Arabidopsis thaliana: one gene and its partner. The protein of the gene in region 2 interacts with the protein of the main gene of each other region in a pairwise test. Each region holds a gene or a part of one and is shown on either strand. Other genes may lie near its edges. The genes, in order: RUP1 and UVR8.

Region 1 (4,050 bases), 4.3 Mb from region 2:
GTCAACACTTCCCTCCTATTTGCTGCACATATTTACGTATAAAACTTAATTTTGGATTTTATTGATAATAGAAGTATACAATACATTTCGAATATACAAATAGGGTATTCATTTGAGAGAGGGAATATTTTGCATTTCCATATACAATATGTCGTGACCCAAATGGGTTTTGCTGGCTTTTCATGTTGAACTTCCAAATATATGTCCTGACTCTTACGTTTTTCTAAAATAATTAATCTCTGAACCACGTTATTTCTTTTTATATTTGCCTGAAGAAAAAGACTTTGTTGGTCGTAACATTTGTTGACAAGAGATGTAAAACTCATCTAAAGATGGGCTATAAAGACAACCTCTGATTGGATCAGCCCAGTTTCTGGGCTACTGGAGTCATGTCATGTGGCAAAGTTTTGTTGGCCACTATGCCGTTTGGGCCAGATTTTATTTTGCATCAAACCACTATAGTTACATAATTTTAAACAACCCTCTTAACCTACATGAATGTATATGTATAAGTATTGTCTGACAAGTTTTTCTTCTCTTTTTACAAAACTAAAGAACATGACATGATTAAATGGTCAATTGATTACAAAACATATCATATCTTTTAGACTCAAAATCAATTTAGTCGTCTAAAGCTCTAGCTTAGCTATGTAAAAAAAAAAAAAGGTCCATAAACTAAAAAGATATATAGAAATAGAATTTCTCATTCAAGTGGACATTTGACTTCTCCTTGTCATTTTACAAGTCAATATATACACTCTCCTTGATACATTTTATTTATTTATTTTCTAGCGCTAATTAAAACACTATTAGAATTAATTTTCAATTCCCTACAAAATGTGTATTCGAATTGCAATGATTGAAAAAGTTCTCAATATCACTTACAATTTCTTCTTAAGAATTGTAGTAACATTCAATCATATTAAAATTAATAACTATAGACAGTATAAAATCAACTGAAAAACAGTTTGTATTAATCATGAGCAGAAAAAAATAATATAAATACTGATTAGCTTTGTTTGCCCGAGAAAATTTCTAAAGCCCCATCGGATCCTCCGGCCACAAGTGTGCACCAATCTTCATCCACTTGTCTCAAACACACACTACTAACAAACCGTCGGTCAGATCCAAACCGGTTCGTATGACCCAATCCACAAACCCAAACCGGTTCCTCCCACCTCTTATCGTACACAAACACTTGGTTATTCTCTGACCCGGACACGACCAAACCACCATGTCTCCAAACCGACAACCCAACAAAGTTCCGGCTATTCACATGCCCTCGGTACGTGCGAACCACGCGCCGTCCATTATCTATATCCCATTGCTTCAAGCTCCCGTCGGTCGAACCGGTAACGATCGTGTGAGAATCCATGAATCGAGCATACGTCACCGTTTTGGTATGGCCGTCTAATACGATCAAAGGGTCCACTAGTCTTCTGATGTCATACACGTAGGCATTCCGGTCAGCACATCCAACGGCTATGGAAGATCCACCGAACGGATCGAACTCTACCGAACAAATCGCCGCTCCACCACCGGGCCTAACCGTTTCTTCTAACGTCCCTCCGTTACGTGGATCCCACATTTGAACCGTTCCGTCGTCGGAGCCTGACGCGCCTATAAGAGAGCCATTGTAAAGCGTGTAGTCCACGCTCCAAATCCTTCTACCTCCATGCTCGTCTCTCTCGGAAACAGGCACTTGTTTCTCCACGTCGTACTCGGTGACAACTCCGTCGTAATCTCCTGACCCGATAACCCGACCGGAAAAATCGGGTCTCCATTTGAGACTACTAAGCTTCGCCGGCGTGCAAATATAGCTCTCTGAAGCTGTTACGTGATCGTCACGTGACTCTAACAAAGAGCTTAAACGATACGATCTGATCTTTCTTGCGATTCCTCCCGTAGCTATGATCTCTCCGGTAGGGTCGAACTCGATTGCTCCGATAGCGTCTGATCCGGTGGATGCGGAGGAAACAACGGCGGAAAGAGAGAGATCCCAGTCGCATCTAGGAATGTTCTCTATGTTCATGATTGTGGGAGATGAAGAAGAAGAAGAAGAGGAGGTCATGATCATTGGCCATGTATATGAAGAAGAAGAAGATAGATCGTTAATGGAAGATCTGATGTTGTTGTTGGGTATCTCAGAGCAGAACAAAGCCTCCATGAATGAGTTACGACTAGTTTTAGTTAGGTCCACACGAAACTATATTAACATCACATTCATATGTGTGTGTGATGTGTATATATAAGCTATAAAGTGGTTTGTTTGTTGACGAAAACAAAAAATGTGGGGTATATTTAAATTTAATATAAATACATATACATAGGTATCATGGTTTATCTATCTTTTTTTTTTACTAGATGTAGAAGAAACCATGTATATAATTTTAGTTAAGCCAAATATTTATAAATGGAATTTGCTAAATTCATGATACATGGAACTTTTCTTTTGTGTGATATTAAATGGAAATGCATTCACGTTATTGGTACTTGCTGTTCTCCGAATGGTTCCAACTAGAAAAGTAATTAATATATCGAAATTAGCTACATGTATTTATGTTTTTGTTCAAACAATCCAAAAAGGTAATCTATCAAAATAAGACCATGCACATGGCTAAATAACCACTAGCTCCAAATATGATCTTTGAACATTGTGGTGATTAGAAATGGTTAAGAGTCTATCTTTTAGATTGATTATGAGTTATAATCTTCATCACTCCTTAAGTTAGCTTTTAGCAACAAAAAGTTAGAGCAATGGGATATGGATAAGTATGGGAAGTACACCATGTCACCAACTTGCCAAAAAAATTCTCTTAGAAGAAAAAATGTAAAGAAACTTTTTTTTTAATTATTGGGTGCAGAGAGACATCGCATTAAAGGAAGAAGAAATGGAAACACGAGATTAGCATTACGTTAGCGTTGGTTGGATAAGAACCTCAAATTTTGAAACCTTTCCTAACGATTAGTTTGGTCGTCGTAGATCTCAACTCCTACGTGGATAATATTACACCTCTTTATTTCTGATTTTCATTTTATTTTTGAAGACAAAAGAAAGTGAATGCAAAAAGTACACGTCGATACATCGACGGTTCATTACGTTTAGAATACTATTGCTATATAATAACTACATGTGCGTTGATATCTTGGTGCATGTTTGGCTTATTTTGACGATTTCAATATCTCGTGACACTTAAGACAATAATTGTATTCATCATGACAGCTTGTAAAACGTATCTTAAGCCCATATGTCTAGGTCCAACCCAATCCATGATCGCAGAGAAGGCGATAACCAAAATTCAGTTTAAACTGATCTTAGAAGTTTTTTTTTTTTGTCGACTGAAATACATACACATATATCAAAATGGTTCGGTAATCCAAATCGATGGTGTATATAGAACTATAGGTCTTACATACTTAAAATAATGAAAATGTAGTGGTGAACAACATGCTAGCTAACAAGTTAGCAAGACAATTCTAATTACAAGAATAACAGAAAGCCAGAAGAGAGCAAATATTTGAGTCTTGCAAACCATTCCAAATATGTTGAGAAAATTGGCTAAAATGTTCAGGAAGTTGTCAATTTTCTTTTAGCTTTGAACAGTCCATTGAGATAGTTACCGATGTACTTTGATGCTTGATCATAGGAGAAAGGCTTATGCATAGATTCCTAACTCTAAAAAGAGATCCTTCTATGTCGTTATGAAAACCGATCCAACCTATATTTGAAAACATATCGAGTCTCCTTCCATCAACTATCTATAAAATCTTCACATGTTTACCAAAAAAAATGAACTATTTTATAAAACATTAATTTGTGACTTCAAACTCCAGTTTTTGTAATAAAGACCGTTGTTCAAAGGTACTTGTCTTATGTTCTTGCAGCTGTGCAGTTTCTCAAATGTATCATTAAAAACCTTATCATTACGTGCCTTCCAATGTATCAAATAATCCATGGAAAGGTTAAATCTTTTGAAGAGCCAGGTTGTTCCAAGAAAAGAATATCCAAATTTGCAAATACCGACGACACCGAAATTTCCATAGTGCTGA
Region 2 (7,503 bases):
ACCATCTTAAATCTCATGTAGTTCTTAGTTTCTTGGTTCCTACACGTCTTATTTAAACCTAAATCTTGTAAGATTTTGCTCTGTTTTGTCAGGTTAGCCTAAATCTTGAGAGGTCAAACTTGCAGTAACTTTCATTGTATAGAATTGCTTTTAACTGAATGATAAATCGAGTAGTAGATTAGTCCAATGGAAGTTTGTGGATCAAGTTATGTGTCTGTCGGCATTATAGTTTTCCTTTGAAATATTGACACATTACTAGAATCTTATCCAACAAAAAATTGTGTGGTTATGAAAATCCTAAGTAACGAGACAGCTTATTAAATGCCGAATTTGGTAGCAATTTGTTCAGATGAATGTATGTCTTCTTGTAAAAGACAGTATGAAGTGGAGGTTGATGCTAACTATCTTATGGTTCCTTATTGCACTTTGAAGCATTTATTGCAATTGTTTTCGGTTTTTTCTCTTGAGTGGGCTAAACTAATAATGGTCTGTTCTTTCTCTAAAGAGAGAAGAATTCGACAGGAGCGTGAAGCATCTTCATTCGCAAATATAACACATTAAAGCTACCTCTAGCATCATCTGTGTGATTCTCTCCAAGGTCATTCGTTGTCTGTCACGGGGCATCTCAAGTAATAAAGCTTAAAGTTAACTGTCTTTTCAGCCAAATAGTTTCATCATCTAAATATTCACATGATCTTCCATATTTCATCACCGATTATGGTTACAACATTTTTGCAAACCCTAAAATTTGTGTTATCGCCAAACTTGACCCTTATACCGGAACCCATGTGGGTGGGTGTTGATTTTTACTGTTTTGTAATTTGTTCATCGACAATCATTGACATGTACTCACCGCAATGTTTTTTCTTTCCTAGTTTCATGTGCATATATGTCTCTAAACAGTAATTGTTTAGCACTTCATGTCAAGCTTAAATTATTATAGGTGTCTTATCTTGTCTCTCTAGTATTTTCTGTTGAAGTCATGTGCATTAAATTGTATATAGTACTTCCAATGGCTTTCATATAATTTCCATTTTTCCACAAATTGTTCGTAATGATGTTTATTTAACAAGATTATAAAAGATAATGCAACAAATTTGTGTGATGAATGATGAGATGAACCCATTTGAAAGAGGTCGCAACAAATGTCAACATTAGAGACCATCTTGATCTAGAGTTTTGTCTCGTTGACTTTAATGCCAAAATTGGACAATACATATAATGCATGTATCAGGCAATGCAAAAATATCTTCATTCATTTAATTTTCTTACTATAATAGATGTCACAACTTCCCTCACTGACAAGCATATAATGTTGGTTTTATCTCAATGTAAACAACCTTTTAGTTTCACATAAATGTTAGGTCGAGCGAGGTGATATATTCGTTCCAGATCGGATGAAACAAGTAATTCATCGATGTTACCTTTATCCATATGTATATGTAAGATTATGGGTTTTAGGTAATCTAGTAAGTACTACTAAGTAGTATCCGTATGTAATTTTTTATTTATTTTTATCCGTTATGTATAATTTCTTTGGCCGTTTTCGCAAAATCTATATTTGGATGTTTTAGATCGTGAATTGATATATCTTAATTTGAATATTTAGGTATTCATATATTTTGAATCTATAGTTGACCTGTTGACCATGTATTTTGATTTGAATATCTCGCTCGATCGATAGAAGATTTTTTTTTGTTTTTGTTTTGTTGATAGTAGAATCTTCAAGTTGTAATTTAACAAAAAAAAAAAAAATCAAGTTGTAAGTAGACCGTATATCTGTATATTTCCATATGTAGAACCATGCATTTTGAATAATTGAATAAAATAACATGTAGCAAGACGTATCTTCATATGATAATCAGAATCATAATAAAAAGACAAACTGTACACCATATTGTAATCCAGGTTTAATTTGACCTCTTTGAAAAACTAAAATAGCTGAACTGAATATTTATAACTAAAAAGACAAATTGGATATGTCACTTTGGACTATGAAACTCAGAATTTTTTTTGACTAACGTGTATACTTTCACACGTGTGCATGACTAAAAACATATGATTAGGCTCTTACGATCTATGCGCCTTACACCTGTGAATGATGAACACATAAAACACAAGTTACGATCTAGAATGTCATGTGTACTGGCTTAAATCTACTTATGTGAAGAGGTAAATGAAATGGTCAAGAAACAAAAAAAAAAAGAAATGGTGAAATTATGAAAGTATAAAACTTTACCGGTGAGGTCCGTATTTGGATTTATTAAGTGAAGAGGGACCCTTTTGCAATTAAAGCCTGTACGACAAAAAAGAGATTTACTGTACGGTTAAAACAAAAAATAAAAAAACCAGCAAAAGTAAAAAAGTCAAAAAGCAGATATATGACATGTGCAAATCTCCATCGCGCCTTTATTACCATCTACCGCTTTCTCTCTCTGTCTTTCCTTGTTCAACCCTCGAGAGATTACGGATAGTGAAAGAGAAGCTACAAAATTTCCCAATTTATCAAAAAATAGAAATTTCTTACTTTTTTCAAAATTCATTTCTCCCCAAAAAAAATATCTTGTGAAAACTGCAACTGTGATCCATGGCGGAGGATATGGCTGCCGACGAAGTTACGGCTCCTCCTCGTAAGGTTCTTATCATCTCCGCTGGTGCTAGCCACTCCGTCGCTCTTCTCTGTACGTCTCTCTTCTTCTTCGCTGTTTTTTTTCCTTTTCTATTACGGACTCAAATAATCACCGGAATTGTGAAATCCGCTGCTTTAGTAGGCTGTGCTCTTCGCGAATTCTCTTGATCTGGCCTTTAATCGAGTTTCCCTTACTTTCGTCGTCTACTAATGAGTAGTTTTATGTTTTGATTTTGTAGCTGGTGACATTGTTTGTTCTTGGGGTCGAGGAGAGGATGGACAGTTAGGTCATGGCGATGCAGAGGATCGACCTTCTCCGACTCAGCTTAGCGCTTTAGATGGCCACCAAATTGTTTCCGTTACCTGTGGTGCTGATCACACTGTTGCTTATTCACAATCAGGCATGGAAGTCTACAGTTGGGGATGGTTTGTTTCTCATCATTATCTTCTTCTTTGCTGCTGAATCAATTGCTCTTCAGTCTGTTTGATATATTCGGGATGAGATGATGACCACTAGTTCCTCTCTAGATTTTTGTGTAGAAAACAGTAACTAATTATACACTCATTTGCACATATTTTAAGCCTCGTGTTCTCTAACCTTTATGTGTACTTTGCAGGGGTGATTTTGGGAGATTAGGCCATGGTAACTCAAGCGACTTGTTTACTCCGCTACCAATCAAAGCATTGCACGGTATTCGGATCAAGCAGATTGCTTGTGGGGATAGTCATTGTTTGGCTGTCACTATGGAAGGAGAGGTCCAGAGGTATTTTCTCTTTGTTATTGTTCTTCTCCTTATGTGCAATCATTTACAGTTTACATCTCAGCTCAATTAGATGAATTTCATCGGAATTTGATAATGTCGATTGCGTCCTGTGTCATTTCTATATATCTTGGTTATTGTGTACATTGCCTTTTAAACGTTTTGTCTGTCTTGTCTTGTTTTCCAACATATCTCTTTGACTTCTGTTTATACAGTTGGGGCCGCAACCAGAATGGTCAACTTGGTCTGGGGGACACCGAAGATTCTCTAGTGCCTCAGAAGATTCAAGCCTTTGAGGTTTGTATCACTAAATATTCTTCTAACATCTTTTTTCGTTGTAGTTTCCTCAACTTGCCAAATACTATGCTTCAGAATTGGGTCAATGTTGGGTCTATTTCTGCAACTTGATCTTCTTAAACATATGACTGTTACTAGTTAAGGGTCCACATCTGGTGAAGATGTCTTCAGAATCATAATTTAAGTTACATAATTTTAGGAGTGGTAGATACTAAATTGGATGTCTATGTGTTATACTATCTGCAAAACACAGATAGAAGGTAGGATCTTATTGATAATTTATCGGACTAGGTAAACTAGAAGATTAAGTGATTAGAGACCCTGAGTTTATGTTGTTAGTTTCGCTGATCTCCATTGTTACATCAACACTTTAAACTTGTAATGGGTGCAGGGAATACGAATCAAAATGGTTGCTGCTGGTGCAGAACACACTGCTGCAGTTACAGAAGATGGTGACCTCTATGGATGGGGCTGGGGAAGATACGGAAATTTGGGATTAGGTGACCGGACTGACCGCTTAGTTCCTGAAAGAGTTACCTCTACTGGTGTAAGCTAGAAGACTCTTGTTCTATAATTTTTGTTTAAGCACCTGCTACTTGTTTAAACTTGCATTTGAAGTTCAGTATACGTGAAAGAAATCGTGAATAGCTCAATATGCACTGCACTATTCTGGATTAGCTGTCTATATTGATGGAGTCACACGTATATGCAGTCTAATTTCAGTTGGTGGGTGTCAGGGAAGTGACCATAAAACTTTTAGAATGATCAAAGTTTGGTATCCTGAATCTGCACAGTTCATGAAATGAAATTTAGTTCATATAACATTGATATCACGCAACCTCACCTTTTTACCAACTTCTATTTCTGCATTTTAGTCCCTCAATTTTTTCCTTAATTCTCTTTTCATTTCGACTCACTTGACTCTCGTTTTCCTGGTTGTAACTACAATTTTAGGGTGAGAAAATGTCAATGGTTGCTTGTGGATGGCGGCACACAATATCAGTTTCCTACTCTGGAGCATTGTATACTTATGGATGGAGCAAATATGGACAGCTAGGACATGGAGACTTGGAGGATCACCTTATTCCTCACAAACTGGAAGCACTGAGCAACAGTTTTATCTCCCAGGTTTCACTTAGGCCTTATAAATCTGTCTTGAAATACAAATTTGTACATCTGAAATATCCAACATATGGGATAGCAATAATATGTTTTTCGAAAACTTTCTGACAACTATTACCTACTGAAGAAGACTGGCTTCATTGTATGTACTTCTGTTGGTTTTCTTCTTCTGTTCGACATCTTTTGGACTTACTGTTCGTTTCTTTTCCAGATTTCGGGAGGTTGGAGACATACAATGGCATTGACTTCAGATGGAAAACTATATGGATGGGGTTGGAATAAGGTCTAGAATGTCTTGCTTTTTTTTTTTTTTTTTCTGGCCTATATTTCGTAGAAATGTATAGAACACCTATTTTCATCTACACATTCACTGATATTTGCATTTAGTTGCTTTATGCTGTTAAGGAGTGATATGCATTCACTTAGATGTTATTTTAAGAAAACAACAATGCATATATTGGGTAACTTTAGTAACTCATCTTGAATAAAACAAACTTCTAATTGTCTCTCTTTTAGCCTGCAGTTTGGACAAGTAGGAGTCGGCAATAATTTAGATCAGTGTTCTCCTGTGCAAGTGCGATTTCCCGATGATCAGGCATGTTATCCCTAAAAAAGTTTAACGAGAAAGCTCGTCCCAATGTTTTACCGGCTATATAATCATATTAATAAGTTCATGTCTCAATTCGCTGTTTTCTTTTCCAATGCACACATATTGTGGAATTTCACAGAAAGTAGTTCAAGTCTCATGTGGATGGAGACATACCTTGGCTGTCACTGAAAGAAATAACGTGTTTGCTTGGGGTAGAGGTACAAATGGACAGCTCGGCATTGGAGAGTCGGTTGACAGGTAAAAGTGTGATCATCTAATCGCTCATGAATCAATGTTTTCCACTTAACATATCTTGGTGTTACGAACAGAATATGAAAATTGGCCAGTAAGATCGTTGTTTCCACCAAAATCATTGCTTTTCAATCCCACTCACTACCTATCTTGATAATGTGAAATGGATATTTGGTTTGGTGTTTATAGGAACTTTCCCAAGATTATAGAGGCACTCAGCGTCGATGGAGCAAGTGGACAACATATAGAATCTTCTAATATCGATCCATCTTCAGGTATTTAAACAATACCACTAGTTAAAACGATTTCTGTAAACGACTCAACAAGTGATTAAATGATTCAACTTTTGCATTGCTTTGTTACCAGGGAAAAGCTGGGTGTCGCCTGCAGAGAGATATGCAGTTGTTCCTGATGAAACGGTAAGCCTTAATTTTGTTAATTCTACTAAACTTTATATCCAATACGTAAACTACAATGAAAGCAAATGGCACAATTATATCGGCTTAGAACCAGATTTTACTGATTAATCATTGCTGCACAATTATACCTTGCTCTGTCAAGATCGTGGATTGTTTTCAAGGATGAAATCTATGTGTGTGATTTTGAATTTGGTTGTGTGTTAGGGCCTAACGGATGGTTCAAGCAAAGGTAATGGAGGTGATATCAGTGTTCCACAAACTGATGTCAAGCGTGTACGAATTTGAGCCTGAGTCAATTCCGTTTTTTTTTTACTTCCGGTTCTTCCGTTGGATTCGAAGGTTTTTCAGTGATCTCTTTTGGGTTGAGGTTTGTACTAAGAGTACGTCTGTCTAGTTTGGGATTGTACTTTTTGTTGTTGTTGTTAGTTTGTAACTTGTGATGCTTCCCTCCCCCTAGCTCTCTTATTACATGGGCGTTGTAAACTGTGTGTACTACTACTACTAGTCTCTAGGGTATGTACTTTTTTTTTCCTCACCATAATAATACCTTCTGGTTCTATATCTTTCATTTCTTAAAAAGTTTTCTGTTTTTTCCTTCAACCATTATACAACTTATGTTTTAAGAGAATTTTCTTTTTGTCTTATTTTTTTACCGCCTATGTTTGAATTCAAATATGATATGATTGATAGTGACCCGCTGAGTTTTAGAGTATTTGAATTTTGGAAAAAAAAACAATTTTATCAATCAAGATCAAAACTTAAGAAGAACAGTGATCACAGATTAACAAGTTGAACTTCTCCTTTTTTATCAAAGTGTGAAGCGCAGATGAGAACGAGAGTAGTATGGGTATTTTAGTTTACAACTTTTGGGTAGGTTAGCCTTTAGGCCCAACACACAATGCATGTTTCGTATTTCTATATATTCTAGTCTCAATACGAAGAGTCTAGAATACGAAGAATTTCTAATGGACTAAGTGATGGATATGTCAAAAAGAAAAAAAATTGATCCTTCATCATCCGCCAACCTAGTTATGCTGCCTAATATATTTGGCGTTTAGTGAAAATTTTCTATTGGGTAAAACTTATGTGGGTGATTCTCTTTAAAGCAAAACCATCCATATTGCTCTTTTAGTGTTTCTCTTTATGTGTCGGGTTTCTTTCCCTTAAATTATTCCAAATCGATGTCACTTAGATTCGATTCCATGTTATTACCTTTTTCAGTTCCAAGTCGCCATCTTTCAAACTTTCTAATGATTCTTGATGTTTCATCCACGAGTCTTTCATTCCCACCACTTTCTTGCTTTTTTAATTTCGGGTAAATATTACTCCATATATCATTTCGCCAATCTTCTTATATTCACATACACTTATTCATACATTACGATTATCTCATGGCATTACTCCGGCAATGGACTATACCTTATGTTCAAGTTG

Evidence for each region.
Region 1: the proteins of UVR8 (region 2) and RUP1 interact in a two-hybrid assay, tested with the Arabidopsis thaliana proteins (3 studies listed by BioGRID, with this or other methods).

Annotation. Positions count from the first base shown.
Region 1 is NC_003076.8:21,215,015-21,219,064, reverse strand, and holds RUP1 (Transducin/WD40 repeat-like superfamily protein), read right to left. Parts: upstream 2,294-4,050; 5' UTR 2,168-2,293; coding exon 1,010-2,167; 3' UTR 714-1,009; downstream 1-713. UniProt on the Arabidopsis thaliana protein: Functions in association with RUP2 as repressor of UV-B-induced photomorphogenesis mediated by UVR8 and HY5, likely in coordination with DHU1.
Region 2 is NC_003076.8:25,553,672-25,561,174, reverse strand, and holds UVR8 (Regulator of chromosome condensation (RCC1) family protein), read left to right. Parts: upstream 1-1,675; 5' UTR 1,676-1,759; intron 1,760-2,190; 5' UTR 2,191-2,587; coding exon 2,588-2,681; intron 2,682-2,868; coding exon 2,869-3,055; intron 3,056-3,246; coding exon 3,247-3,393; intron 3,394-3,605; coding exon 3,606-3,687; intron 3,688-4,078; coding exon 4,079-4,234; intron 4,235-4,641; coding exon 4,642-4,815; intron 4,816-5,020; coding exon 5,021-5,092; intron 5,093-5,332; coding exon 5,333-5,404; intron 5,405-5,537; coding exon 5,538-5,656; intron 5,657-5,839; coding exon 5,840-5,925; intron 5,926-6,016; coding exon 6,017-6,069; intron 6,070-6,273; coding exon 6,274-6,354; 3' UTR 6,355-6,759; downstream 6,760-7,503. UniProt on the Arabidopsis thaliana protein: UV-B specific signaling component that acts as a UV-B photoreceptor and plays a key role in establishing UV-protective responses in plants.